Styela clava: one gene and its partner. The protein of the gene in region 1 binds, or shares a complex with, the protein of each later gene. Links are inferred from orthologs where the notes say so. Each region holds a gene or a part of one and is shown on either strand. Other genes may lie near its edges. The genes, in order: armadillo repeat-containing protein 8-like and glucose-induced degradation protein 4 homolog.

The links.
Region 2: the proteins of armadillo repeat-containing protein 8-like (region 1) and glucose-induced degradation protein 4 homolog are in contact, whole or in part, in a cryo-EM structure (PDB 7NSC), measured with the Homo sapiens proteins. The link is inferred for Styela clava from reciprocal best matches to the Homo sapiens genes ARMC8 and GID4. Residues at the interface, in NP_001350870.1 of Homo sapiens: Glu309, Pro310, Asp311, Val312, Asn371, Glu373, Arg406, His409, Arg413, Ser414, Val415, Gln416, Arg419, Thr420, Gln423, Asp424, Val444, Ser448, Cys451, Asn452, Leu455, Phe457, Ala483, Val486, Asn487, Trp490, Met493, Asn494, Phe497, Gln498; in NP_076957.3 of Homo sapiens: Leu104, Ile105, Pro106, Pro107, Pro108, Pro109, Ile110, Gln114, Pro115, Gly116, Val117, Ala118, Thr119, Gly125, Gln146, His147, Tyr154, Cys156, Tyr158, Phe174, Glu176, Phe239, Val241, Pro242, His244, His292, Ser293, Ala294, Pro295, Ile296.

Annotation. Positions count from the first base shown.
Region 1 is NC_135258.1:9,308,094-9,315,934, forward strand, and holds armadillo repeat-containing protein 8-like, read left to right. Parts: upstream 1-4,679; coding exon 4,680-6,779; 3' UTR 6,780-7,251; downstream 7,252-7,841. Other genes in the region: serine/threonine-protein phosphatase PP1-gamma catalytic subunit B, read left to right, coding at 1-476; protein archease-like, read left to right, coding at 2,843-3,310. UniProt on the Homo sapiens protein: Component of the CTLH E3 ubiquitin-protein ligase complex that selectively accepts ubiquitin from UBE2H and mediates ubiquitination and subsequent proteasomal degradation of the transcription factor HBP1.
Region 2 is NC_135253.1:16,878,521-16,885,857, reverse strand, and holds glucose-induced degradation protein 4 homolog, read left to right. Parts: upstream 1-4,347; 5' UTR 4,348-4,356; coding exon 4,357-4,506; intron 4,507-4,875; coding exon 4,876-5,043; intron 5,044-5,406; coding exon 5,407-5,508; intron 5,509-5,880; coding exon 5,881-6,011; intron 6,012-6,319; coding exon 6,320-6,383; 3' UTR 6,384-6,673; downstream 6,674-7,337. Other genes in the region: putative D-lactate dehydrogenase, mitochondrial, read right to left, coding at 21-126, 206-298, 568-669, 932-1,038, 1,208-1,349, 1,803-1,942, 2,269-2,313; protein SGT1 homolog, read left to right, coding at 3,012-3,665.

The DNA of each region.
Region 1 (7,841 bases):
GTCTCTCACCCGATTTGCAATCGATGGAACAAATTCGTCGCATTATGAGACCGACAGACGTGCCAGATCAAGGTTTACTCTGTGATCTGCTATGGTCCGACCCTGACAAAGAAGTTGCTGGATGGGGGGAAAATGACAGGGGTGTTTCATTCACTTTTGGTGCGGAGGTTGTCGCGAAGTTTCTTCACAAACAGGATCTTGATTTGATTTGTCGAGCTCATCAAGTTGTGGAAGATGGTTACGAGTTCTTTGCAAAAAGGCAACTTGTCACATTATTCAGTGCTCCCAACTACTGTGGAGAATTTGATAATGCAGGTGCAATGATGAGTGTCGACGAAACTTTGATGTGTTCGTTCCAAATCCTCAAACCAGCTGATAAGAAAAAGTTCCCTTATGGAGGCATCAATTCAGGACGACCTGTAACACCACCGAGAGCTTCAGCAGGAAAAGGAAAAGGAGGAAAAGCAGGAAAATAATGTGCTACCTAAACCAAATTTTTTTTTTGTATAATATTATCGATTTCTCCGTTTTTAGTAATGCACAGACTATGTTACCATCATCGAGCTGATTTGGACTTCTGTTACCACTGTCGGCCACAAATGATCAACGGGACTCAATTGGATATAAGACAGTGACTCGTTGGTCAAATAAACTGACAGCTCTGTCTTTGTGTTAACTGTTCATCAAGCAGATACACAAAGTTCACTTCTAAAGCTATTCGAATTGGCACACTCATCTGTACAGAATTGCTGTTCAAGGTGTCAATAATGAGTGGTTTACTTTGTTTCATTTTTTGTACTAGTTTGTTTCAGATCACTTTTTTGTTCCCTTCTTCCTAGCAGCTTAGTCTTTGCACTGTCTGGCATTGAGTTAATTGATAAGTCCAAATTACAATCTTCCATACATTTGGTAGCAATTGTACACGTTTGTAAAATGGAATGCCAATACTATTCAAAAACAGAACTTGTAGACCAATTATGCATATGCTCGTGAGACCTAACCATTCGGCAAATTTTACGAATAAAAAGGTTTCAAACTATATCAAGATGAAAATATCTTCATGATTCTGACGTAGATCTCAGAAATGATTTTTTAACTCGATTTCATCATAATGTATTCAACGTCAGTTACTAAAATATTTATAGGAATATATTAAAATCTGTATCCATTTTCCTTTTGATCCTCTTTGCCCTTTTTAAGCAAATGCAGCCATTATGGTTTTATTTTATGTTCATATCCCTGGCATCTAATTTTTAGGCAGTTCAGTTGAATTCTATTTGAATTTTCAAGTATCGTAATTACATAATTATCTTTCGAAATTGAATATCCATCAATATTACTTACTAAAAAGTGGTAAATTTATCTGTTGATCAATTTTCACTTATTTCAGCATCTACAAACTATAGTTGTCATCATTTCTGTTATTTGTTGACTCGTTTTTGAAATATTGTCGAAATGTACAGCCCTTTAGTCTAGTAAAAAAATGGTATTTCATGACACATTGACTCAATATTGTCATTACTGTTTCCACCTTTCATAACATGGCAAATTTTTTAAATCAAAGTTGATTTTCCCTCTTAATTGGCGTGTTTTGATCTTTCTGGTAGACCCGAAGACTTTATACATAATTCATGGAACCTACAGCAGACATGATCGTATTTTATGCAATTTGTTTCTGGGATTGTATCAAAATTAACGATTCCGAGAATTGTAAAATTGAATGTTCAAACAGATTATCAAGTTAACATGTTTTTATCAAGTTGTTGGAGTTAATCTATTGAATGAATTATTCTATATTGATGCATGGAAAGAGGTAACGAGATAGGATGTGTATTATATGTGATATATTTTATAGCACATTTCTTTATGTGACATGTGTTTAATTGACTGTTAATTGCTCCTATCATCGCTTCATCATCATTCATATACTGTCTTTTATGGGGATCTAGTTATGTGCTGTTGATCCATGCCGCTGGCCAGAAATTGACTACAGTTTGGCATATGTAATTATACTAACACATAAATTATCTATCAAAGTTTTTCAGTGATTTGATTAGTGATGTTCCAAAAAGTTTTTATTTGAATGATTTGGCGCTGAAATTAATATACTATTCATTACAGTAAAAAATGATTATTTATCGATGAATTAAAGTCATTAGTGGTTATTTTCTGGCTGGTGCACACTTGATTCAACTGCGTCATCGTACGTAGTTTATAGCGAGCTTGGTTTGATCTTCTTACGCATTGTTAAAGTGCTTTTATTTAATTTGGCCAGTCATTGTTGTTGCATTTTAATTTCTCTCACAAGTTAAAAGATTCAAAACTTTACATATCCCGTTGGGAAATCAGGTATCAAATCATATCCATTAAAGCATGAAAATTTTTGGATAATAATATGAAAAAAAATGAAATTAAAACTTTTGAAAAATAAAATATTTTTGGGGCGCTCCCAGTGAAATTTTATATTTAAAATGATATATCTAAAATTAAAATGAATTTTTGCACATCAACATCCTTTTAATACAATACTCATTCTGTAATTGATATTGTAATCTAGTAAATGATACATGCTTTGTTGAATATGATTTGATATCTAATTTCTTTATAGGATAGCAGTACCCATGATTTGTCTTGTTCATTAAACTTCATTGTATTTGTGTATTATTTAGATTTTATCTATGTTAATAAGGTCGTAATAGCAGCAATAATGGAGTAATGATGGATTAGTTGGAAAAAGGAAAAATACTTACGAACAATGGAGATTTAATGAATCTCAATCTGCGGAAATATAAAAGTAGCGAGTCTGATTGCAAAAACGAATATTGAGGAATACGAAGCTAAGATGGCTGGTGGGGGAGACTTATCAAGATTTGAGAAGGTGACGAGAAAATTTGAGTACCTTGATCACACTGCAGATGTACAAATTCACTCATGGGGAGAGGATTTGTCAGAGGCTTTTGAACAAGCTGCGATGGGAATGTTCAACTACATGACGGACATCGATGGTGTTTGTCCAGAATCACACAGAGAAATAGAAGTCGAAGGAGAGGATTTAGAATCACTTTTGTACAAGTTTTTAGACGAATTCTTATTTATGATGTCTTGTGTACCGTATTATATTCCCAGGGAAGTAAAAATAACGGAGTTTGACGAGAAAGAATTTAAAATAAAAGCTGTCGGATATGGAGAGGAATTCGACGAAAAAAGACATGGCGGACAAGGTACTGAAATCAAAGCAATTACATACAGTGCAATGGAGATCTTAACAACACCCGGCTCTGCTCAAACCTTTGTTATTGTTGATATATAGTTTTTTGAAAGAAGAATTGTTTAGCTGTTATACTTGATTTATGAGATATATTAGCAATTCTCAACCTTTTTTTAGAACTGCGGAACCCCTTTTATAACTTTTGAAACCATACTGGGGATTGGAATATCATTACTCTTCCTTTACTTTTATGTGAATCACTCTTCAAAATTAGTTAAATTTGTCCGTTTTCAAAACATAAAATAATTCTATACAAATGTTTGTTTGGTCAGTCTACCTCATTCACAATTTTTTTTCGTTTGTTAAAAAATTGAAAATCACAAAAAATTATGATTTTAATAATACACAATTTGATACATAATTTTGTGCATGCGTGATCATTCGCTTTCTCCTTTCTTACTATTGAGCTGACTAGGTGGTGGCAATACCTACAAAAAATCAATGAAAAATTGGGTACCACTGTATTTAACTATCCTTCTCCCATGTATTACTTTAATTGTTTGGATCAATACATTCAAGGTTGAGCGCTCAATTACCATATGCCCTTTCATTCCCCGGAGATACCAATCAGACAATCTTGACTAAATAGGTTCTAATGAGTAGTGTATCAGTTCAATATCTTTGGCCTATAATACTTTTTCCTCGTGCAAAAGTTACAAGGAAAAATAGAATCCCATAATTGGTTATGGATTCTTCTTGTTAAAAAAAACAAATTCTATACTATGCAAATTAGTGATCAATACGAACATGATTTGAAACTGTAACCTTCAGCTAAATTCCAAAATTAGAATTGTACTTGAATATCTGCCAGCTATGACGTCCATGGTCATATCAAGTTGCATCAATAGTACGTGTGTCTATTATAAACACAAGAACTGACATAACTCTCTTGTGTAAGTTCATGGTACCTGGCAATAGCATGGAAATATTTTTAGTACTGTTGACGTCAAGCTCTTGAATGTAATTATCAACATACATTGTGTCATAGCCTGGAATATAATTTATTAGTTCATTTTTATTTATGAATAAATTTTTTATGACATGACTATGTGGTATAAGATTTGGGTAAATTTGTACATATTTCCAACTTTAATTGTATTGCAATAGTGTCAACAATGGTCCAAGAAGATCTACGTTTATTGTGTTGAAGCGTCTGCCCCGAACCTTGATGTACTTTTAAAACTATTGTCTGTTATTTTGACCCTTTTTAAAATTACTTCTATCAAGTTTTAAGATATTGATGAAGTTTTTTTTTATACGACTTAGTGCACATCTTTATTCATGCCTTTTATTCTCTCATTGTATTTGATGTTCATAGATTGTATGAAATGTGAACTAATTTTTTGTGATTTTTATTTCAATGGCGACAGGCGAAGGAAGCAGTTGTTAGATAAGTTGATTATTTTGAAAAATGAGCATGGAAGTTGACCAACATGACATGAGCGAGGTTTTCCCGGTTGCGGTTCAAGGTGTGCTCTCCGAGATAACAACAATGTATCAGCCCTACGTTGGAAAAATATTTGATACTGATGAGAGTATAGTATTTGAAGGCATAAAAGAAATCAAAAACTTAGTTATTGGAAACAAAAAGCAAAAAACGAATTTTATTGTACTAGGAGTCGTTCCCAGATTGGTCTTCTTAATTGAGGACAGTAACACTTCGATGGAATTGAAAATACAATCTGCAATTGTACTTGGCAGTCTTGCAAAAGGAGTTGATGCAAATTTAAAGCATTTATTAGATCACCGTGTTTTGGAAACTCTATGTAGCCATCTTACTACAAACGATTTGCAATTGTACGAAGCCACTGTTAGATGTTTACGGACTATCATAACTTCTACTGAAAGAACTACTGAATTGTTATACATCAACCCTTCTGAAATAATTCCAAAATTGTTAGAAAATATCAATCGTTCCAGTTGTACACAAGAATGTACATGCGAGATTATTGCTCATTCTTGTATTGCACAAAACCATAAAGATCTTTTGATCAAACTTGATATTATAAATTTACTTGGTGATTTATTGGTTTCACCCATTCGAAGGGTTAAGGTGAAGGCCTTGGATACGCTAGCTGCTCTATGTTACAAAAACAAAGAAGCCTGTAAGCAATGTGCCATGTCAAAAATAAAGGACAAACCTCTTATGGAAATTGTGATAAGACTACTTAATGAAAGTCAACCTGCGGATATTCAAATGCGTGCTGCAAAATGTCTGACTTTCATGTTTCGAATGCGGGTTTTAACTGCAGATTCATGGGATCATGTTATTGTCAGAAAAGTGCTGACACGTTTGGTTAGAATGTGTGATATGGAATCGGACCCTGATCAGCGCATTTGCAGTGCCGAAACTCTTGCGTATTTGATCGAAGTTGATCCACCTTTGCAAAGACTTGCTTATATCTGTGAACAGTTTCCTCACAAATTAGAAGCTTATTTTAAATATCCTTCAGTAAGCTTAACAAAGAACGAACACAATATAAAATTCTTCAAGCACGCTTTAAAACATGGAAAACAGTTACACAGAGCAGGATTTTTAGCGTACGCCTCACTTCTTTCAAATGACGAAGATATCCGAAAACAAGTTGCCACAGAGCTGCTGGTAAAACACATTTCAGAATCTCTAATCGATCCTTGTGCATTAGTTCGCTCGGCTGCATTAAAATGCCTTTTAAGTTTATCTCGCTCCGTACATCTACTTCGTACAACTTTTCAGGACGTAGGTATTTGGAAATCATTATTAAAATTGATGCAGGACTTTGCACAAGATATTAATGAAACAAAGATCATCAGCAGTGTATTGTGCAACCTAATGCTTGACATTTCACCCTGCAAAATGGACTTGAAAGCAGCTGGATTGATAAAAACCATAACTGAATGGTTAAATGTGGAGGATTTAAGACTGAACGCTATTTGGATCTTTATGAATATGTCGTTCCATGCTGAATTAGCATTAAAATTAGAGATACTTGAAGCGATCAGCTTTGAACAGATATTGCAATTGTTACAAGACAGTGATCGTGATGTTATTATACGTACTTTGGGACTCCTGCGTAACATACTCAGCTCGGATCAAGATAAAATAATGCCATTATATGGCGTAAATATCATACAAGCTTGTAAACACGTTTTAACTGCATTCTCTGATGCTGGAACTGGCCATCCTGGCTTACATTCAGAGTACGAGTGCATACGTGCCCATATAGTGTGCATACTCGCAGGTGTGGCGGGTGGGGATGGAGGGTCAACAGTAAAGACCTTTCTCGAGAATGAAACGGAACTTTTGCAGCAAGTTGTTAGCTATTTGATGCATTTTGACCTTAATCTGCAAATGGCTTCAGTATCATTTATATACAATTTTGTTAGAATGAATACAGGCTGTGTGGAACGTCAGGCCGTAATGATAGAGTTGGGAGCAGTGAACAGCTTACAACATCTACAAACCACTAACGATACTGTTCTTTATGATAAAGTGGATAAAGTACTTCAGCAGTTTCAGAATACAAAATAATTTTTGGTAACAAATGTACTGTTTCTTTTATTATAAATCAACTGATTGACCAGAGTCTTGACAATCAGCTATTGATATATAGAAGGCTTATAAGTTTTTGAAGTACCGGTAACTTAACTGCAATCTTTTTGAAAACAGCCTATGACATGGTTTGAGTTCAACAGACTAGTCCCTTGACGGCTGGTCATTGACGTTTGAACAAAAAATTTTTATGCACGAATGAAAGTTTCAAACCTTTTTGATATATTTTTTCTTACTTTGGAATTGTTGTTCTTTCATTATAACAAAATAGAAATGGCACACAAGTTTCTGGTATTCAAGTTCATGACAGTACAGTTTGTTACTTAGTACACAAAACTAGTTCTTGACAAGGCAAATAGCTTCGATAAAATGAAGTATACCATTATTTATATATACCAAATTATCGATATCTATTTCCCTATAATCATACCTAGATGGAAAATTTAAGTATATTTATCTTTTATTATAATATTAAATCTCTAAAAGTACTAAAGCAGTGGTGTCGCTTATGTCATTCCATTGACTAGGTATAAGGTTTATTCAATGGAAGAAGTTTTTCATTGATAATCATCCTTGCTTCGGTTATTTATTATCTGGTGGTAAACTCAGCACATACATGGTAAGTCCTTGTGGTATTCACAGAGTGAGTTTTATTTCTAGAATGCGTAATACTTTTCGCTTGGTAATTCCCTCCAATTATAATGTGCTGTATTCACAGGGCTGATGCAATCATCTGTTATTAAGGTGAACTAACAAAGGATATACTCTAATACCAGGAAGTTTAGTCAAATAAGATTGCAAGAATGATTATTGATTTGCGGTGAGACAGGTTCATACAGATTCCAATAACATGTCTAAGTAGATTTGTGTGACATTATTGATTTTTTGTGGTTTGCTTTCCCAGATTAAACTGTGAGCAAGGCAAGAAAATTTTTTTGTGTAGGTTGTGTGCATTCTATATTTTCAACTCTGCATGTAAAGCAAGGAGATTATGACTGTATTAGAGTGATGATACGCTCAATATAACCCTAAAATACATTT
Region 2 (7,337 bases), on another chromosome or scaffold:
ATCATAAAGGTAATTCTCACAGAATCAGGTACAGGATGTAATCTCAGTGTTGCTGAAGTTATAAAACCCAGTGTTCCCTCTGATCCAACAAAAAGATTTGTCAGATTGTATCCAGCTGCACTTTTTCTGAAAATGTATATGTGGTGCATACCAATCTTCATTTTAATTTTTTAAAAAATCACTGAATTCAAGACAAAACAATTACTTGAATCTTCTTCTCTCACCAGCAGTATGAATAATTTTCCCATCAGGTAAAACAACTTGTAAATTTAGTATATTTTCTTTCATTGTTCCATATCTGAAGTATGAAAGTGGTGTATTATTTGTCGATTAATATCTTTTCATGGGTACCTGAACACATTCCCTCTACTAGGCAGTAGGCACTATTATGGAAAAGTTTCTATTTTCAAAAGACCAGATCTTTCTAATTCTGCCTAGGCTACCTAATTTATTGCACCGTGGCCAGTGAGACTGCGATACCAATATAGTTATGCCTAATGGGGACATCTTGTCCATCTTAAGGCTATTTATCCTATTATGTTATATTCATTTCATATATTAACATACCTCACAGCATTAGTGCCTGATGCACTGGTTGCAGCCATCCCACATAGAGAAGCATCTGCCCCTGGATCCACTGGAAACCACATTCCACTGTCTCGAAGACGCCTGAAAATAAAATAAAACGACATAAATAGCACCTTAACATTACCTATTGAAAATTCAATAAAGAAAAAGCATTTTAAAGCTTTTTGGGTTCCAACCCAATGCCCTCTATCTAACGGTATATTTAAATTGTTAGGTGGGGAATATGATGAACTGGAAAAATTTCAGTCTTTCCAAATAGTCCCTAAATATACCTGCTTGTCTATGGCCTTGTTTAGAGTGAAGATGTGATAAAAACCTTGTGATAAAAATCTAAGAAACATACTGATTGAGGCCCAGGCGTGTCACACCAGGTTGGACTGTCACATCAAAATCCTCAATGTTGACATCAATTATTTCATCCATTTTCATCAAGTTGACACAAACGCCACCCTAAAAAAGTATGAGGCCATCATTTTTTACACATAAAAAATATTTGAAGCGCAGGCCATTTCTAACAAGTAATGAATATTTAGTTTATTAACAAAAAATAAATCCAGAAAAATTACTGCTGCTTAATTCATAAATCTGATATTAAAATTTTAATCACAATTCATCTCACAGAAGTTGGTGCCACTCCACCCTCAAGTCCAGTTCCAGTACCATATGGAATCATTGGTATTCGTTCAGCAGTGCAAAATCTTGCGAGATCGCTGACTTGGTTGGCATTTGCAGGCCATACAACAATATCAGGCAGTTTTCTCCTATTAAAATGAATACAATGAGATATGTTGAAAAGCGAGAAAAAACGAGCAAGAAAAAACATAGTGAGAAAAAAATTATTTTCAATATTAAGAACAAGTATTCAATAAAATAATATAAACAAACTTATCTCGACAAGAAAAAAACTTCCTTACACATTTTGTTAAAATCAAGCACAACAATCAAGGGGTTTTGTCCACTAATCTCGAAAAAATGTTCTGAAAAATAAAAGGATCCAAGACCCAAGCGGGCAAATAATCTAGAACTATTATGCAATTTGATCAAGTTACTTTTCAAGCGAATGATTGAGAAATTCTTACATACACCATAGAGAGTCATGTTATATTTTCCCATATTGTGTTTACTTTTTTTTTTTTGGGGGGGGGAGATTTATTCTTTTTTCAGTTACCAATTGGAGTATTTCGATCACAGAAATAGTCAATAAATAATTTCACCTGTGATACGATTCATCATGGGAATGTTGTTCCAAAGTAGATGGAGCTTTACTTATATTTTTGGATCCAACAATTTTTTCAAAAGCTTCAAACATTTGTTTTGAAGGCTGCGCTATGCTTGAGAATGATTTTGAAACACCCTAAAAATAAAATTGTTGCTGTTAACAATTTTACAAATACTGTGAAAGAGTAATCAAATGTTGGTAGGTTGAGAGGAAAAGATTTTCATATTTATCCCAGGGGATAAAAAAGACAATGAGACATCTTGATTATATGGAAGTATGGTGATGGTGTAATCAGTCTTTTTTGTCATGGTATTTAGGCGTTATTTTCAAGTAAGATCTTGGGACATTCAAACCTTGTAAAACAACTGAATTAGTAGTAATAAATTCTATATTGGTGTATAATGAAGATACTTCTGAAAAAAGTGCAAGATTTTATTGATAACATTGTGTAAGCTACTCACCACTGTTGCTGCCATGTAAGTTTTTAACGAAATCTTTTGCCACATTTTTAGTTCTGTAGTTACAGGTATTTCTTCCGTCTTCAATCAAAATATTCTGAAATTTCAGTTAATTGGCATGCATTACTAGTAACCTGTACAAGTGAGAAAATAAAATACCGATACTGCTTGGTAAAAAGCGATAAGTATAGACAATTTATTTTACAATGCTGTAATGCAAGAAGCATAAATAATTACATATCGGTAATTAGATTATGGAATTCATTGCAATTAACACTCAGGCCACTGACGACCAAAACAATACTATACTGCGGCATATCGGTACAGATAAGTAAAAATAGGAGAATTATAAGGAAACTTTGCAGAGTGCAAATCATAAAAACCAAAACAAACGGGAACACACCTCCACCACTCCCCCCGAAACAGGAACCTAAAATATATGTTTGTGCTTTTCAACAGCCTTTGTCTACGGTCAAGGAAAATAAAATACATAACTTTTTAATTATCAATGACTCATGCTTACAAGAAAATACAAGTCAATATGCCTCACCACTTTCAGATATGTCTCAGTATAATTTCAAGCTATCTCGGGATTTATACACTGAATGGCGACAAAGGTGCACGAAGAACGGTTTGCCCGTTGAGGAATATTCCAGTAATCTTACTCCGTGCGTTGAGAGCGGTCGTCTTGTCAAAGGGGTTTATGGTTGTATTTTGCGAAATTTTGGTGCATTAGGAGCAATACTATGGAGTTAAACGGAGAATCTTCCACAAACACGTCAACACTTACTCCGAAATATGATTGGTACCAGACCGACACTTACGTTGTAGTAACAATTATGGTAAAAAGAGTCAAACAAGAAGAATTCTCAACAAAATATGGTGAACAATCGCTGTCAGTCAAAATTCAACGTGACACTGGGGAAAGCTTTGTTTTAAATCTGTCACTATCGCACAAAATATTACCAGATAAATGTACATCGCGCATAATGTCCACGAAAATTGAATGCAAATTAATGAAAGCAGAAGGAATAAGGTGGAGCTTGCTGCATGGTGAAGATAACTCACCTACTGCACCTATGCCAGCACCAGCTGCATCAACAAATATAGACGACGCAAATAAATATCCATCTTCAGCCCATTATACAAGAGATTGGGATAAACTTGTTGCTGATATCAAAACCGAGGAAGAAAATGAAAAACCAGAAGGAGATGAAGCCTTGAACAATTTCTTCAAAAAAATATATTCTGATGGCGATGAGAACTTGAGAAAAGCAATGAATAAATCCTTTTCAGAATCTGGGGGAACTGTGCTCAGCACGAATTGGGGTGATATAAGGAAGGAAAAAACTGATGTCAAGGCACCAGATGGAATGGAATTTAAAAAATATGAAATGTAAATAAGTCCTGAGTAGAACTTCTCGGAACTACAAACAAAAATGTTTGGTCATTCAGTAGTTTTTGTCATTTTGCTGTACTGTATATCAATTTTTATAGTGTTGTTGAAATCAGGTAATTTATGAATCCTGATTAAAAATGCTGAAGATTTACAACAAAAGAATTTAACAACTTGGAAAATTGTCTAGTCTAAACTTATTTTATGTTTTACATCTCATCACATATACATTTGATTCAAAACGTTCCGATAAAAAGATCTGATCCATTTTATCAACACCAGTTAATTTTAGTATTTTCAATCAGATGTGCTTTAAACTTTTTCTGTTTTTCTCTTTAATGACTACTTCAAGCAATTTTGTAGCTTTCGGTTGTTTGAAATTATGCAAAAGCTGAAGATCTGATTTTGTTGATTACTCGCTTATATGTATTAAGTTTCGTGAAATTTGCATCTTCATTTCTAACAGATATTAAAATAATTATTTATTGGTTAAAAATCTCATTCACCATTTCATGTGTCACATTGTCAAATACCTTTCTTCCAAAGTTAAGAGGTTCAGAATATATAATCGATTAAGATATTGTATTGTATAAAAGAATCTTTGATTAAAATAAGTTTCTTTTATGCCAACTTTGTTGTGGTAGTTTAATTTTTTTGTTATTTTTAGATATCCCATATATTGGTAGATTTATAAAATGAGTGCTTTGGTGGACACATTAGATCCTCCTCCACCATGCAATACAATACAACCTGTTATACATAGAACTTTGCTTTATAATGGTTCAAAATTCCGTGGACATCAAAAGAGTAAAGGAAGTTGCTATGATGTTGAAGTTACTTTGCAGGTGGATACTTTTTGATGTAATAAGTTGTTTTTGAATAGCCTATTCTTCGTCTGTTCTTCGATCTTTTTACATACCTTCATTAAAGTATACTAATGAACATAATGATTTACATGTTTCTAGCATCTGGGCAACTTTTTTCTTTAAACTCAAAATATTTTCGGTTGATAACTGAATTAATTGCAATTCTTTTACAATGCAGTTGATATAAAATCAAACGCTTAGTTCTATACCTATTGCATCAAGTTACATTTACTTTTGCATCCCTACTGCAGTCCAATTGCGAATACAGTATACATGTCTCTTATTGTCACAATTGTCTACAGCTGTCATCACAAGCTTTAAACTTTGCTCTTTGTTTATATATTATAGCAAGTTGATTTGGATACTTCCTATCTCTGCGGCTATTTAAAAATAGATGGACTAACGGAGGATTTCCCAACTATGACAACATTTTTTGATGGTGAAATAATCAGTGAACGATATCCTTTCTTGACAAGAAAATGGGAAGCTGATGAGGAAGTAGACAAAAAACATTGGGTTTGTTCTTATGACATTTTATAGTTATTTGAAATGTATCGATATATGGACGATTTTCTATAACTTCTTATATTCTTCTTCTTCTTTTCTATAACTATAAGTTCTATAACTATAATGTGAATCATAAAAAAAAATTTGAATTATTCTTTTGTAGAAGATATTGATTTTTTTTCTTATTTTCACAAGTTTTCACGGTACTAAATTATGACTGATAAAATTGTAGAAAGCACACTGTTTATTGTACATGTTTATTGTACAATAACACATGTACTGTTTATTGTATTGTAGAGTACATACAAAATATTCTGTTCCCAAGCAATATCTCCGGCAGATAGTTATTTCATCTTTTGTATTTTCAAACAGGGAAAATTTACAGCATTCAATCAGTTCGAGAAGAGTTTCAACACAGATGGTTTTGATTATAAAGAACTTTGTGATAGTGATTATATTTTCATGAGATGGAAGGTAATTAGTATACCTATTTATGTCTGAATAGATTCAATATTCATAATTTTACATTTCTGAACAGTGTGCATTATACCTCCCGTAGTTTTGAAGTGTGTGGGAAATTAATCTATGAAATTCTTCGTTAGAATATTTATAACAAAAAAAATTTTCTTCTTTCATCATTAATTTTTGTTGGTAACCATTTCTGAGATTTATATCTACAGAAGTGATTATATAATGGGAACAATGCTACTTTTTTGAAGCTAGAATTGCCTTGTTCTTACAACTCATTGTGACAATTCGGTTTAGAACATCTAGTGTTGAGCGTCTCCACTCAAGTAGACCATATGCTATGCATGATTTTTATTTTTGCTACCAATTTATTTTCAGGAGCATTTTTTGGTTCCTGATCATAAAATTCAGGACATAAATGGTGCATCATTTGCTGGATTTTATTATATTTGTTTTCAAAAGTCTACTGCTTCTATTGAAGGATATTACTATCACAGAACATCAGAAATGTAAGTTGTAATGTAATTTACAAAAATACTGTAGTTTTCAACAACTAATATCATATGCACCATAGAGTAAAAAAAATTATAGCTTTTTTATAACTGTTGTAAGTATATGTGACAATTTTTTATGCAGTGATTACCGCAAATTGAACATATAAATGGTTTCTGGAAATTGAACGACTTCAGTGAGATAATTCTGACCTATCTGAATCAAGTTTACCATTTTTTTTTATCTATCATTCATGATTCATCTGTGCCTTGTTCGATTGTGAAATTCAAATCAGTAATGAATTATATTATCTTGTTGATATCAGGTATCAGTCTCTCAACTTGAAGCATGTTCCTGAATTATGTACAGCCATATACTTGATGAGATGATGAACGATTGTTTTTTAACATACCCTGGTCTGGAATTGGGAATGTTTGTGGTTTTGCGCCACAGACCGGTCGTTTGCTTGAATGGATTGGTTTCGAGTCTCACAAGCGGGATAGTATAGCAATCATACATGTGCTGGAGTTTTTTGGTATTCACCATAAATAATCCATCAACAAAATATGCACTCTTCTCAGGCGATGTTTCGAGACAACAAATTGTGTCGTTACTGCTGATTAATTCTCACTTGTCTATGTACTAATGATAAGTTATAAAATTGAAGAGGACATTGCAATTCTGATGATTTCCTAACATCAGTTTTCAAGCTAGAAACATAACCGAATCTGTAAACAAGTTCATGCTGGGAGGTACTATGCAGATTTATTTTGACCTTTTCTTACCATTTAAAATTTTTCAGAGATACTATTGGGGCAAGACTTAGGTGGCGAGCAAATCGAGCAAAACCAAACGCATGCTTCAGCCAGTGCTGGGCTAACCTTACCCATAATCACACTAGCTATGCAACTTCTTCAGAAAATCAGATCGAAAAATCGGCTTGTTGATCAGAAAATACGCACATGGTAGATACGATGGCACTGGAAGACTGTTATGAGAGATTTACTTTTGCATTCTCGTGTTTAGACGTAGGCTGCAGGCTGTTCCTGCGATTTGTTTTCGGATGCATAGACGTTATGAGGGAGCCGTAACCGACCAGCGGTCGCGTGAACCTGCCACAGCTGGGAGTCTTAACATTCCTCTCTTGCATGAGTAGCCCCTGAGAGGGTCAGAACCCAGGGTAATCGGAGGTGCGATGGCGAGCGTATTCCCGACGCTTGGCATGATGCGCCACACCGCCGAGCCAAGTAAGGGGGTTTCGTTACTTGGTTACCGTCCGGTATGAATAAAGCAAATATTTTTGTCACCGGCGGAACAATGATTAACTTACAGGTACCGTACAA